Linked DNA regions of Nothobranchius furzeri. The main gene of each other region encodes a partner of the protein of the gene in region 2 in a complex. Links are inferred from orthologs where the notes say so. Each region holds a gene or a part of one and is shown on either strand. Other genes may lie near its edges.

Region 1 (3,755 bases), on a different chromosome or scaffold from region 2:
TTAAATCTAAATTTAGAAATCAAAACCACTGTTCCATACAAACTACACCAACACTAAATAAAACACAGCCAATGTGGATTTTTCTCAAAACAATAAATGATCAACCTGAATAATTAGCCAGGCATTTAGATGATCAATCACAAAAAAAAAAATGTGAAAGAAGTGGAAATAATAGAGAACTTACATCTTTTCTCTATGAACTGGTGCAGCAGACAGGATTTTCCTGTCCCAGCATTCCCAATTACCAGGAATTTAAACAGGAAATCTACAAGGGGAACAATACAATCATTTAATAGACATAAGCTCAGCTTGACCCTCTTAATGTGGCATTCATAGGCACTAGCTCATCTTAATCCTAATCTTATTTGAATCAAGATTATTTTATAACTGAGATATAAACCAGCTGATATATATTACACATGAATACCTGATGGTTTGTTTATAAAGGCAGGGACACCTGCTTACTAACCACAGGTTTGTTCATTGTGTTTATGGTGTAAACAACTCATTTTGTATGCTGCAATAATATTTTACTGTGAGATTTAGAATGATCCAAATGTAAAATATACACATAAAGAGAGCATTAAATGGTTATTTATTTAAAAAGTTGAACAGTTCAGCCTCAAATTTATGCCAGCCCTGTCCTCCTCTTTACCCCTACCTGGTATCTAGCGGTTCTTCTGATTAGAATCCCAAAAGCTCCGTTACATTCAGTGTGAAAAGCTACATCAAACCCAGATGTATGATCTGAGTTGACTGACAGCTCTGCTTTAAGGCCAGAAGCCTTGAGTGGTGAAACGGTTAGCCTGTCGGCTATCTTTTTGCGATGAGAAAACGCCTTCTGGGCACACCTGCCTCGTCTTTACCACTGACTACCAGAAGGCACCCGTTAACTGTTGCCTCGGTTTAAAGCAGACTCCTTACCGTAAGACTCCGACATCGCCAATGTGGCGGTTTGATTCCAAAAGCAAAATGAAGGGAGGAATAAAAGTTGACAGATGCACAGCTAGCTCAGTAAAGGAATACACCAGTGATAATTTCCGTGCATTCCAGCTGATTTTTCCTTCCGACTTCCCGTAGGTTCTTCCTTTCAAAGTAAAAGTCCTTCCATGACCGACACTGTGATGCACTATATAGTTTTCGCCTCACTATGGAGCTGTTATTAAGTCTCCAGAAACGTTAAAATCATGATTTATTATAGATGTAAAAAATAATCACAAATAAGAAACATCCACATTGTAATAATTAGTGACCAGATATATTACTTATTATTGTTGTCAACTTGAAGGATTATACGTGCAAGTATTGACCAGTAGGCGGCAGTAGTGGTCACTGTGATTGGCTGACTGCAGCTAGACAACTATTTTAAAAATTGTTCTGCTGTGATAACCTTGCGTTAAAGGACCAAAACCGATTTCACATGATTTTAATACATGATCGGAATATTTGGTATTTAAAAGTAAAACGTTTTTCACCTCTATCACCGATCCAGGCCAGGAGAGTTCGCTTTCTAAACCGAAGGCTTTACCATAGAAGAAGAAACGCAGACTCAAGCTAGTGAACTAGCCTAGCTGCGGAACATTATTTTGTCGAAATATGGCTACTGTGCTCCCCATTAGACCACCTTGCGATAGTAATCCTGCCACCCCAGGAGCGCAATCTTTAAAGGTGACATTCACACTCCTTAAACTGCTTCATGCTTCAGCCTGTGTCCACGAATGACCCCGTTAGCCGTATTAGCGTCCATTCTTTGTTTTCATGTGTGCTCAGTTTATTCAATTTACCTTTCAGTTGTTGAAAAGTCGCCTGTGTAATTTGACTCGTATAAAAACGAAACGTAACCTCAAAATGCATTATTTGCTAATTTCTCTATTTTAAGTTCTACTTTTATTTTATATCTAATGAAACTTATACTTGTTTTTCCTAAAATAACACGTTTTGTACACGTGAGTTGTTTACAGGTAATGAATTATTATATCACTCATAAATCATGTTTTGCAGTGGCTCATTTAAAATAAAAAATGTATGAAGTAACCCTGAACTGGCAAACAACACACGAGTCTTTTAATCCTACCTTGTCAGGGAAATGGTCTTGTCTAATATGTACAGTAGTTTCTATAAACTTTCATTTTTTAGAAGTGATGCTCAAGCCAGAGGGTTTGAACCCTATTATTCTAGAGGTTAATGCCTCTAAAGTTGATGATGCAGCTGTATTGCATTTCAGGTTTTGGTTGCCCTCCATTCATTTTCACTGATTTGGGTACAGAGGAAACACTCAAGTCTTTTGTAAACAACTACTTTCATGGTCCTTTGTCAGGTTTTTCCAGGATAGATTTATATTTCTTAAGCACTGTGACTTTCAGGAATAGTTTACCTGATGTATACATCTCTTGAAACCTGACAATTTTTTAAATATTTAATCACCTCTTATTCTGCTGTTACATGACTGGGCAGAAAATGTGTAAAAAGCAGCAAAAGTTGAAATAAATTAGAACTTTTGATAAAGATAAAAACATTCAGCATGTTTTTTTTTTTTATTTTAATGAAGAGCTTTTTTCCTGTTTTTAGGAGGATGTAATAGAGGAAGTGTCCAATGATGGCAGCCAACCTAAGAGAAGGAGAATGGGTTCGGGGGACAGCTCTCGAAGTTGCGATACCTTCAATCAAGAGCTTGGGTAAGAGGGTGCTTTAATCTAGTTTTTACCGTCATGTTTTACACAATATTGTTAAATTTAAAACACACTTTACTTGTCAAACTTTCCCAGGTGTTGTACTCTAGAATGTGCAATTTTATTCCTAAAGTGGATTTTTTTTTTTGTTCAGGCCAACATATTTCCCAGCAGAAAACCTGACGGAGTACAAGTGGCCTGCTGATGAAACAGGAGAATATTACATGCTGCAGGAGCAGGTCAGCGAGTATCTGGGAGTGACGTCATTCAAGAGGAAGTATCCTGGTGAGGCTGAGAGGATCCTTGTGTTCAAGCTGGAATTCTGTTCCTTTTTTCAAAATGATTTTGTATGAATGCATTTGTTCAAGTAAAACTTCAAAATAATATTTGTGATAAGCTGTTGTAGAGGAGCTATTGTGCTTTTTGATTATATAAACAAGGGGCAAAGTGGCTCAGACTCCATGTTAGATCTATTTTTATGAAGCTGCACTCATTTTTTTTTATTATGATTTAGTTTATTTCTTATCTATGATTTTTTTAGACATGGAAAGGAGAGACTTGTCCCACAAGGAGAAGCTCTATCTTCGTGAGCAGAATGTCATCACGGAGACACAATGCACTCTGGGTAAGGAATAATATCTCTTAACTTTACATGCACACTTAGTCTCACTTCATTTTTTTATCCTGCTGCATTCATGTCTGCAGGCCTCACAGCTCTGCGGAGTGATGAAGTGATCGATCTAATGATAAAAGAGTATCCCACCAAACACTCAGAGTATTCAGTCATTCTGCAGGAAAGGGAGCGACAGAGAATAGCTAAAGAGTACTCTGTAAGTGAGGAATAAACAGGATGTCTGGTATGGTTGCTTTGATAAATATTTTTTAAAATGGTCTTAATTCTTGTATTGTTTTCTGTCATGTTTTAGCAAATGCAGCAGCAGAACCCTCAGAAGGTGGAGGCAAGTAAAGTTCCTGAGTACATAAAGGAGGCAGCGAAAAAAGCTGCAGAGTTCAACAGTAACTTCAACAGGGAGCGAATGGAGGAGCGGAGAGCGTACTTTGACCTCCAGACTCATGTAAAATACA
Region 2 (3,655 bases):
GACCCCGGAAGTTGTTGTCCGTTGCCGGGAGACGAAGGGGCAAAACAGGAAAATAATCTAGTAGTGGACGGACGTTGTTCCGGGTCTTCGGTATTTGGTGGAGATGTTAGTGAAGGCGGAGAAGAGGGCGAACTAGAGGAAAAACAGGCAGATTCCTCCTCTATTTACAAACTCCTGGGGATGCAACAAGTGGGCGCGGTGCGTCGACTTCCGGATCTGACGTCGACAAATTTTTAGAATCGAGCCGTCGACTTCGTCGAGGCTTCGCTACAGCCCTACGCAAAATGACGCAACTTTTCCGCTCGGAGCCGTGCGGACCTCGCGGACGCGTCAAGCATAAACCAACCTTAAGGGAGAGCCCAGACTCTCTGTGAAGGAAACTCATTTTAGGGTTGGGCATCGTTTATTTTGAACGATTCCGGTTTCAATTCCTTGTTTCAATTCCGGTTCCTATCGATTCCCGATTCCGATTCTTTCAAAACATGACATGTTTTACATGAACCAGATAACCACAGGTCCTACTTGATGAAATAATCTTAACTTCAACATGAATTTTAATTCAATGAACAATAACATCACCTTCATTTAGACAGAAACATGTTTTGGAGAAAAAAAGAAAAAGACTTGCAGCACAACCAGTGTGTTTGTTTCTGACCACAACCAAAGTCTGGAAGAAGCCTCTGGGATGAAAGGCTAAATGTCTCCAACATATCCAGAAACGTCCAGCTGTTTTCAGCTAAAACTCTCAGGATGATCATGTCCAGGATGACTGAGAACTACACCTCCATGCTGCAGCAGCATTCAGTCAGAACAGAATGTAAAACTTAAACGTAGCCGCTGTCAGTGACAGATTTTAAACATTAAAACTCTCAACAGAAATGGTTCAGAAAGGAAATTAAAATGTTCACAGCTTTGTGTGTGATTTATTATTATTATTATTATTATTTATTGTGGCAGAAGCTGGTGTGGTCCACCACAGAGAAGCTTCTCTACCATGATGACATTAATTATTCTACAGTTCAGCCTTCTGACGCTCACACACACACACACACACACGTGTTGAGTGGCTGCGTCTGACTGCTGATGCTCCGTGTGTGTTTTTATTTCTGCTCTGAGACAAACTCACCTCACACCATCCAGAGTTTGTTCTTTAAAGCTTTTATTAAATCCACCATGTTGACGTATTTTAACAAGTGTCCTCTAAGCTGCAGGAGTTAAAGTTTACATTAGGGAGTAAAAGTTCGGCAGACGCGTTTGTTTATATTTGGCCGCTGCGTGCCAGGTGAGGGGAGGGGGGACTCGGTGCTGCACACAGACAGCTGGTGTCATCAGCTCTGAAAAGCGTTGATCACAATCTGCAGATCACGTTTATTTTTCACGGAGATCGGCCGCGGATTCCTCTTCTGGTCGGCATTCTAGGAATCAAAACTAGGCATCGAAAAAAAAAACCTTTACGATTCCGGTAAAAAAGAACAGTTGGGACTGGTTCCAATCAATGCTCGATGCTCAAACCTAACTCATTTCAGTTGCCTGTATTTGCGATTTCATTCTTTCGGTCACTACCCAAAGCTCGTGACCATAGATAGGGTGAGAACATAGATCGATAGGTAACACCACAACAGACTGGTACAACGCCTGCATCATTGCAAATGAATGAATAGTGTATCGATCAAATTAAAATATGGCTTGTTGGAAATTTGTTCTGATTGTCCGGCGTTGAAAAGCAGTCACGTTTTTACAAAATACACAAAAACTGAATGAATGTTTAAAAAAGTTATGTTCTAAAAACTTACCCGGACACACTAAAGGGCACTAAAGGTAATAAATATCTGCTTCTTTACTGATATCCAGTCTTAATCTTAATTTCTTAATCTTAATTTCTGGTAATGATGTAAACCAATATTCTGGGAAAATTCAAATAGTTTTAGGTAACCCAATGTCACATGTCTCTTATCATACATACTTCCACCTAAAACATTGTCTGTGCCAAATATGACAACTACTTTAATGTAAATTAAGCAATGGAAGAAACGTTAATGAGATAATCCCTGAGATAATCCTGACAAACACCCACTTGACTGGACAGATTTCTTCTTCTTCAAAAGTTGTACCAAACAAAAACACATCAAAACTTTTTCCTGGACCTTTCATATTTGAGTGAGAGAAGCAGCAGAAGAGTGTGATGTATAATACGGTATAGTGTGTAAAAGTTGGTTATTAAGAGGAGGAAACGATCATTAATATTGCGAATGTCGGACATTGCTAAATACAAGTTAAGTTGGTTTATGGGTCACCTTATAACAGACGTTTGTGGAAACCATTAAATATTTTTAACATCTACAAACTCTTTCCACTCCGGATTAAATGGTTGCGAAGCATAATTTTCCATTCTAGTGAAACGAAAGCATTTTTGTTATTAGAAGTAATTTTAATGAGTTTTCTTTGCTGTTTTTTCTCTGCAGAGACCCGGTATGCCTCCATCTAGCCGCATGACACCACAGGGACCAGCAATGGGGCCACCTGGGTACGGCGGGAGCCCCGTGTCTCGTCCTGGGATGCCCGGGGTGATGGACCCTTCCAGAAAAAGGCCGGCCCCCCAGCAGATTCAGCAAGTTCAGCAGCAGAATCGCAACCAGCAGTGAGTCACGCGCAGCCAGAGCTTAGGTTTTATTATGTCCACTGGAGCATCACTGGTCATTTTTACCCATTTCAGCCTGTAGAAAAGCAAAACACATGTTGAAATGAGTTCAGAGGTTTTTATAGTTCTGTTCTTGCTTCTGGTCTTTTTTTAAACGATAAGTAACCCAGCTGAAACTTCTTTTTCCATTTGGTCAAATCACATCTTCACAGTAAAAATTGACTAAAAAAACACAAGTATTTTAAATGTAATTGTAAAAAAAGATTTGATAAATCAAACATCGGTATTTCATTTATATTTAATAAGCTGAACTTTCAGCAGATTTTTTTAAAGGAGAAAAGTCGTATAACTTTGCCGTAATTAATTATCTTTATGATGTATCTGTAGGATTTGATTTAGGACCAACAGGATTATTAACCCAGATCACGATGTCTGAGTTAGTAACTGGAATATGGTGGTAATGAGATTTGTTTGTGTGGTGACGGTGCGTTTGTGTGACTTTACACCAGTTTTGAAGGCTGTAGAAGTCTACGTAAAGGGCTTTCCTGCCTTCTGTTTTTATGGACACGTTTGTAAAGATTTAAACTTAATTTATCTTTTATAACTTTTTTTTTAAAGCACAAAGAAGAAGAAGATGGCTGATAAAATTCTACCTCAGAGGGTGAGTGTTAGACTGCAGCGCATGGAAATGATACTGAATCTAATCACCCACGCCATGATTAGAACTTCCTGTAATTGTGTTTTGTTGCACATCTGTTGGTGTGTTTTAGATCAGGGAACTGGTCCCAGAGTCTCAGGCTTACATGGATCTGCTGGCGTTTGAGAGGAAGCTGGATCAGACCATTATGCGTAAGAGGCTGGACATTCAGGAGGCCCTCAAGAGACCCATTAAGGTTTCACCTGTTGCACTTTTTCATACATTAACTTGACTTAAAAACCTCTTCAATCTTGGTCATCAAATAAGACGTTCATTAAACTTGTTTACATGTCAGATTGTATGGTGAGTTTTTATTTTTT
Region 3 (3,755 bases), on a different chromosome or scaffold from region 2:
CGTCCGTAGCGACGACTTTGTGGCCAGTTTCGTTTCTTCATCCTTTTTTTTTCTTGGCTCCAACAGTGAAGGTTGTCACATCACGCTTTCTGTTCACGACGTGATTACTTGTTAGCTAAGTTAGCAACGTTAGCATTAGAGCTAGCGACACGTTTGCTAATGTAGCTGGACTTCAAAAACGTTGCATACAACAAAGGTTTAAAACAGCAAATTAATCCTAGTGACGATGAACAAACATAATTCAGAATAAAGTACTAATTATGACTTAATTTTTAAACTCTCTTGAGCTACTTGGTTTACGGTAATGCGGCATTCGATGTACCTCGGAAAAAGGAAAATGCTACTTGTACTGACGCGTTCAATGGGCAAGTCGTTCCGTGGGCAAAGTGAGACAAAACTGTTTGTACTTCAGGTTTAATATTTTACTTTATCAAAAGTCATCAAAGTATTTAAGGTTGCTCAATAATTAAGCAGACAAATATGAAAGAGCGAATGCTGACTTACCAACTGTTCACAAACGCAACGTCACGTCATTTTACATAGTCCCGCCTTTCGAACTTATCATTGGTAAATTTTTTCAACAACAATTTTCGGACGTAAGATACGTTCATTGGTTGCTGCATTTAAGATCATGTGGGACATTTGAATTTTCAATCAACAATAAACAAAAATCACTGAAAAGCCGAAACAATTATCAATACGGTAATTATAATTTTGATTTGTCATCCACCATGTTCTACTTTAATACGAAAATCCATATTAATCTGAAAAGTAAGAGAAAATAATATTGAAATTGTATAAATAATAGTTTTACTATATTGTTGCGCTTTTATTGATTTGAAAATAATCTTCAATTAAAGTAACTGAGCATTTATTTTTAACAGCTGAGCACAAGAAACAACTCTGAGCCCGTCACGTGGTTCCAAGAAACAATAATTGTGCGTTGAAGGCTACATTTAATTCCGGTGGACATTAAATGTAGCATACGCGTCCTCTACGAAATGATTAATGATGTTGAACATTAAAAACAAACAAATCACAGAAATTAATAACTTTGATCACGAACTTCGTGATTTATACCCATTGGTAGTATGTAATGTAAATTAGGACAAATAATGCTCAAATGTTCAAACAAAAAGATAAAAAATTGTAGAAATATTAAGAACATCTGGTAATGGCGTACAACTCATAAACTTTTAGACAGCTGTTTTATAACTAAATCTAATTATTTGAGTGGAATGATTCCAGTGCAGAGTATGTTGACATATTTCACTGAAGCCACGCCTCATGTGTTGATGCTTCTGTTGTATTAGAAAGAGCAGAGGACCGCATTGGCTGTCGTTTTTTCCTTTTTTCTTTTTTTTAAGAAGGGTCCCAAACTGCACACAGATTTGGAATATTGCATTACAGTTCTGCAGAAAGATGGCGACTGTCATTCATAATCCATTAAAATCGTAAGTGTATTTCTTTTATCCTTTTTTAAATCTTAGTCGAGCAGCTGCAGACACAACGGTTCCTTTTCCATGTGTTTTTTTAATGATAGGAATCATAAACGCAGCCTTTCATCTGCACTCGGACTGTCTGTTATAATCAGGTATCGCTGCGCGCTGTTGTGCAAAGATCCTCACATAAAAGCATGCACGTTGTAGAAAAAAAGCACACTCTTTAGACATCCAGTCTCGTTGTGCAGTTGGTTTCGCATATGAAGAAAGTTTCACGCAAAAAAGAAGCGACTGGTAAAAGTTTGCATCGGGGAATCCCTAATAGCGATGAAAATTTTGATGCAAATGACATCACAACTGGCGCGCGCACGGGCACTTATTTCAAATGCGTGCACAGTATACTCACAGGAGCAGATTAAAACACGGCCGTGCATGTAGAGGAAATCTGCACCAATATTAAACACATATTGTCAGAAAATGGCAACACAACCATATTGTATGATTTGGAAATCTATAAGTCTTAATTTGCTTTTTCTCCCCTCTAGAAAAGGTTGCCATGTGTCATGTGTCTCAGTGATAGCTCGTGTGTGTGTAAGAATTCTAGGTTTTGTTATAGGAACCGTAATCCAATTCTGCGCCACTTCTTTTAAAACCTTCAGCATGACCTTTCTGGGTAAATGTGTTCCAAATAATACACGTTGTTATCTAAAGCTCTTTGTTGGAAAAAAAGGGAAAAAATGCTTTAAGCTGTTGTTTTCCATCAAAACAGATTAGGATGTAGTGAGTGTACGCGTTAGCTTTTGTTTGCGGTTGTGCCTGTCAAGCAGGAGATTAACAGTGTCCCAGTATTCTCCTGTGGGTCTATCTGTTAAGAGAAAGGCACAAGTTAGGAGCTGATGAAGGAGTACGGATGGGGGTCCCCATCTGTTATTTGTGTGCATCAGATCTAATATTTGCAGAAAAAGATAAGCACTTTTTAAGTCAAAGTATTAAAATACATTTAGAATTGACTTTACATTTTTAAGGGGTATTTTAGCAACTTTAAAGTGTTTTTTTGTTATAAATATATCCGTCTTACTCAATGTAAAAGTCTTCCGAAACAATCTCAGTTTAGAGAAATTACATTCTTCAGGACTGATGTGAGGGTGGCTTGCCAACTCCGGGTCGGGAGAGAGGTCCTACCTCAAGTGGAGGAGTTTAAGTATCTCAGGGTCTTGTTCACGAGTGAGGGTAGGAGGGATCGGGAGATCGACAGGCGGATTGGTTCGGCGTCTGCAGTGATGCGGACGCTGAGCCGATCTGTCGTGGTGAAGAGGGAGCTGAGCCAGAAAGCCAGGCTCTCGATTTACCGGTCCATCTACGTCCCAATCCTCACCTATGGTCATGAGCTTTGGGTAATGACCGAAAGAACGAGATCGCGGATACAAGCGGCCGAAATGAGTTTCCTCCGTAGGGTGGCCGGGCTCAGCCTTAGAGATAGGGTGAGGAGCTCGGACATTCGGGAGGGACTCGGAGTAGAACCGCTGCTCCTCCGGATCGAAAGGAGTCAGTTGAGGTGGTTTGGGCATCTGGTCAGGATGCCTCCTGGACGCCTCCCTGGGGAGGTGTTTCGGGCATGTCCTGCCGGCAGGAGTTCCCCGGGTCGACCCAGGACACGTTGGAGAGGTTAAATCTCCAATCTGGTCCGGGAACGCCTTGGGGTCCTGCCGGAGGAGCTGGTGGAGGTGGCCGGGGAGAGGACGGTCTGGAGCTCCCTAGTTGGGATGCTGCCCCCGCAACCCGGACCTGGATAAGCAGAGGAAGACGATGACGACGAGGATGATGAATCGAGTGGCCCATGGTGGCGGTGAGGTTATGGGCAGGCATATGTTATGGAAAACAAGTACAGGTGCATTTTATTGATGGGATATTGAACACACAGCGATACCGTGATGAGATCCTGAAGCTCAATGTTGCGCAGTTCAACCACGGCCATCAACTCATTTTGCAGCATGATAATGCACGGCTCCGTCTAGCAAGGTTCTGTGCACAGTTCCTGAAAGATGAAAAGATCCCAGTTCTTGCTTGACTGGATGTGCCACCCATCAAGCACATTTGTATACAACCAGTTCTTGACAAAATTTAGCAACCTTGAACAGCTATTGAAGTGGGGTGGACCAACAATTCACAGGCCACATTCAACAACCTGATCAACTCCAACGGAGATGTGTTGAACTGCATGAGGCACATGGTGACTACACCAAATACTGACTGTTTTTTTTATATTGCTTTCTTAAGTAACTGTATTATACAAAATTAACTGTAATGTGATGT

Evidence for each region.
Region 1: smarcd1 (region 2) and phf10 share a complex: the UniProt entries of both Homo sapiens proteins name them as parts of the neural progenitors-specific chromatin remodeling complex. The link is inferred for Nothobranchius furzeri from reciprocal best matches to the Homo sapiens genes SMARCD1 and PHF10.
Region 3: smarcd1 (region 2) and dpf3 share a complex: the UniProt entries of both Homo sapiens proteins name them as parts of the BAF complex. The link is inferred for Nothobranchius furzeri from reciprocal best matches to the Homo sapiens genes SMARCD1 and DPF3.

What each region holds. Positions count from the first base shown.
Region 1 is NC_091749.1:34,751,478-34,755,232, reverse strand, and holds the start of phf10 (PHD finger protein 10), read left to right. Parts: upstream 1-1,386; 5' UTR 1,387-1,596; coding exon 1,597-1,668; intron 1,669-2,568; coding exon 2,569-2,675; intron 2,676-2,823; coding exon 2,824-2,954; intron 2,955-3,210; coding exon 3,211-3,294; intron 3,295-3,374; coding exon 3,375-3,499; intron 3,500-3,595; coding exon 3,596-3,745; intron 3,746-3,755. Other genes in the region: rab4a (ras-related protein Rab-4A), read right to left, coding at 185-265, 925-940. UniProt on the Homo sapiens protein: Involved in transcription activity regulation by chromatin remodeling. Belongs to the neural progenitors-specific chromatin remodeling complex (npBAF complex) and is required for the proliferation of neural progenitors.
Region 2 is NC_091743.1:58,853,270-58,856,924, reverse strand, and holds part of smarcd1 (SWI/SNF-related matrix-associated actin-dependent regulator of chromatin subfamily D member 1), read left to right. Parts: intron 1-2,462; coding exon 2,463-2,638; intron 2,639-3,256; coding exon 3,257-3,299; intron 3,300-3,408; coding exon 3,409-3,531; intron 3,532-3,655. UniProt on the Homo sapiens protein: Involved in transcriptional activation and repression of select genes by chromatin remodeling (alteration of DNA-nucleosome topology).
Region 3 is NC_091742.1:25,606,962-25,610,716, forward strand, and holds the start of dpf3 (zinc finger protein DPF3), read left to right. Parts: upstream 1-1,307; 5' UTR 1,308-1,422; coding exon 1,423-1,454; intron 1,455-3,755. Other genes in the region: wdr21 (WD repeat domain 21), read right to left, coding at 1-41. UniProt on the Homo sapiens protein: Belongs to the neuron-specific chromatin remodeling complex (nBAF complex).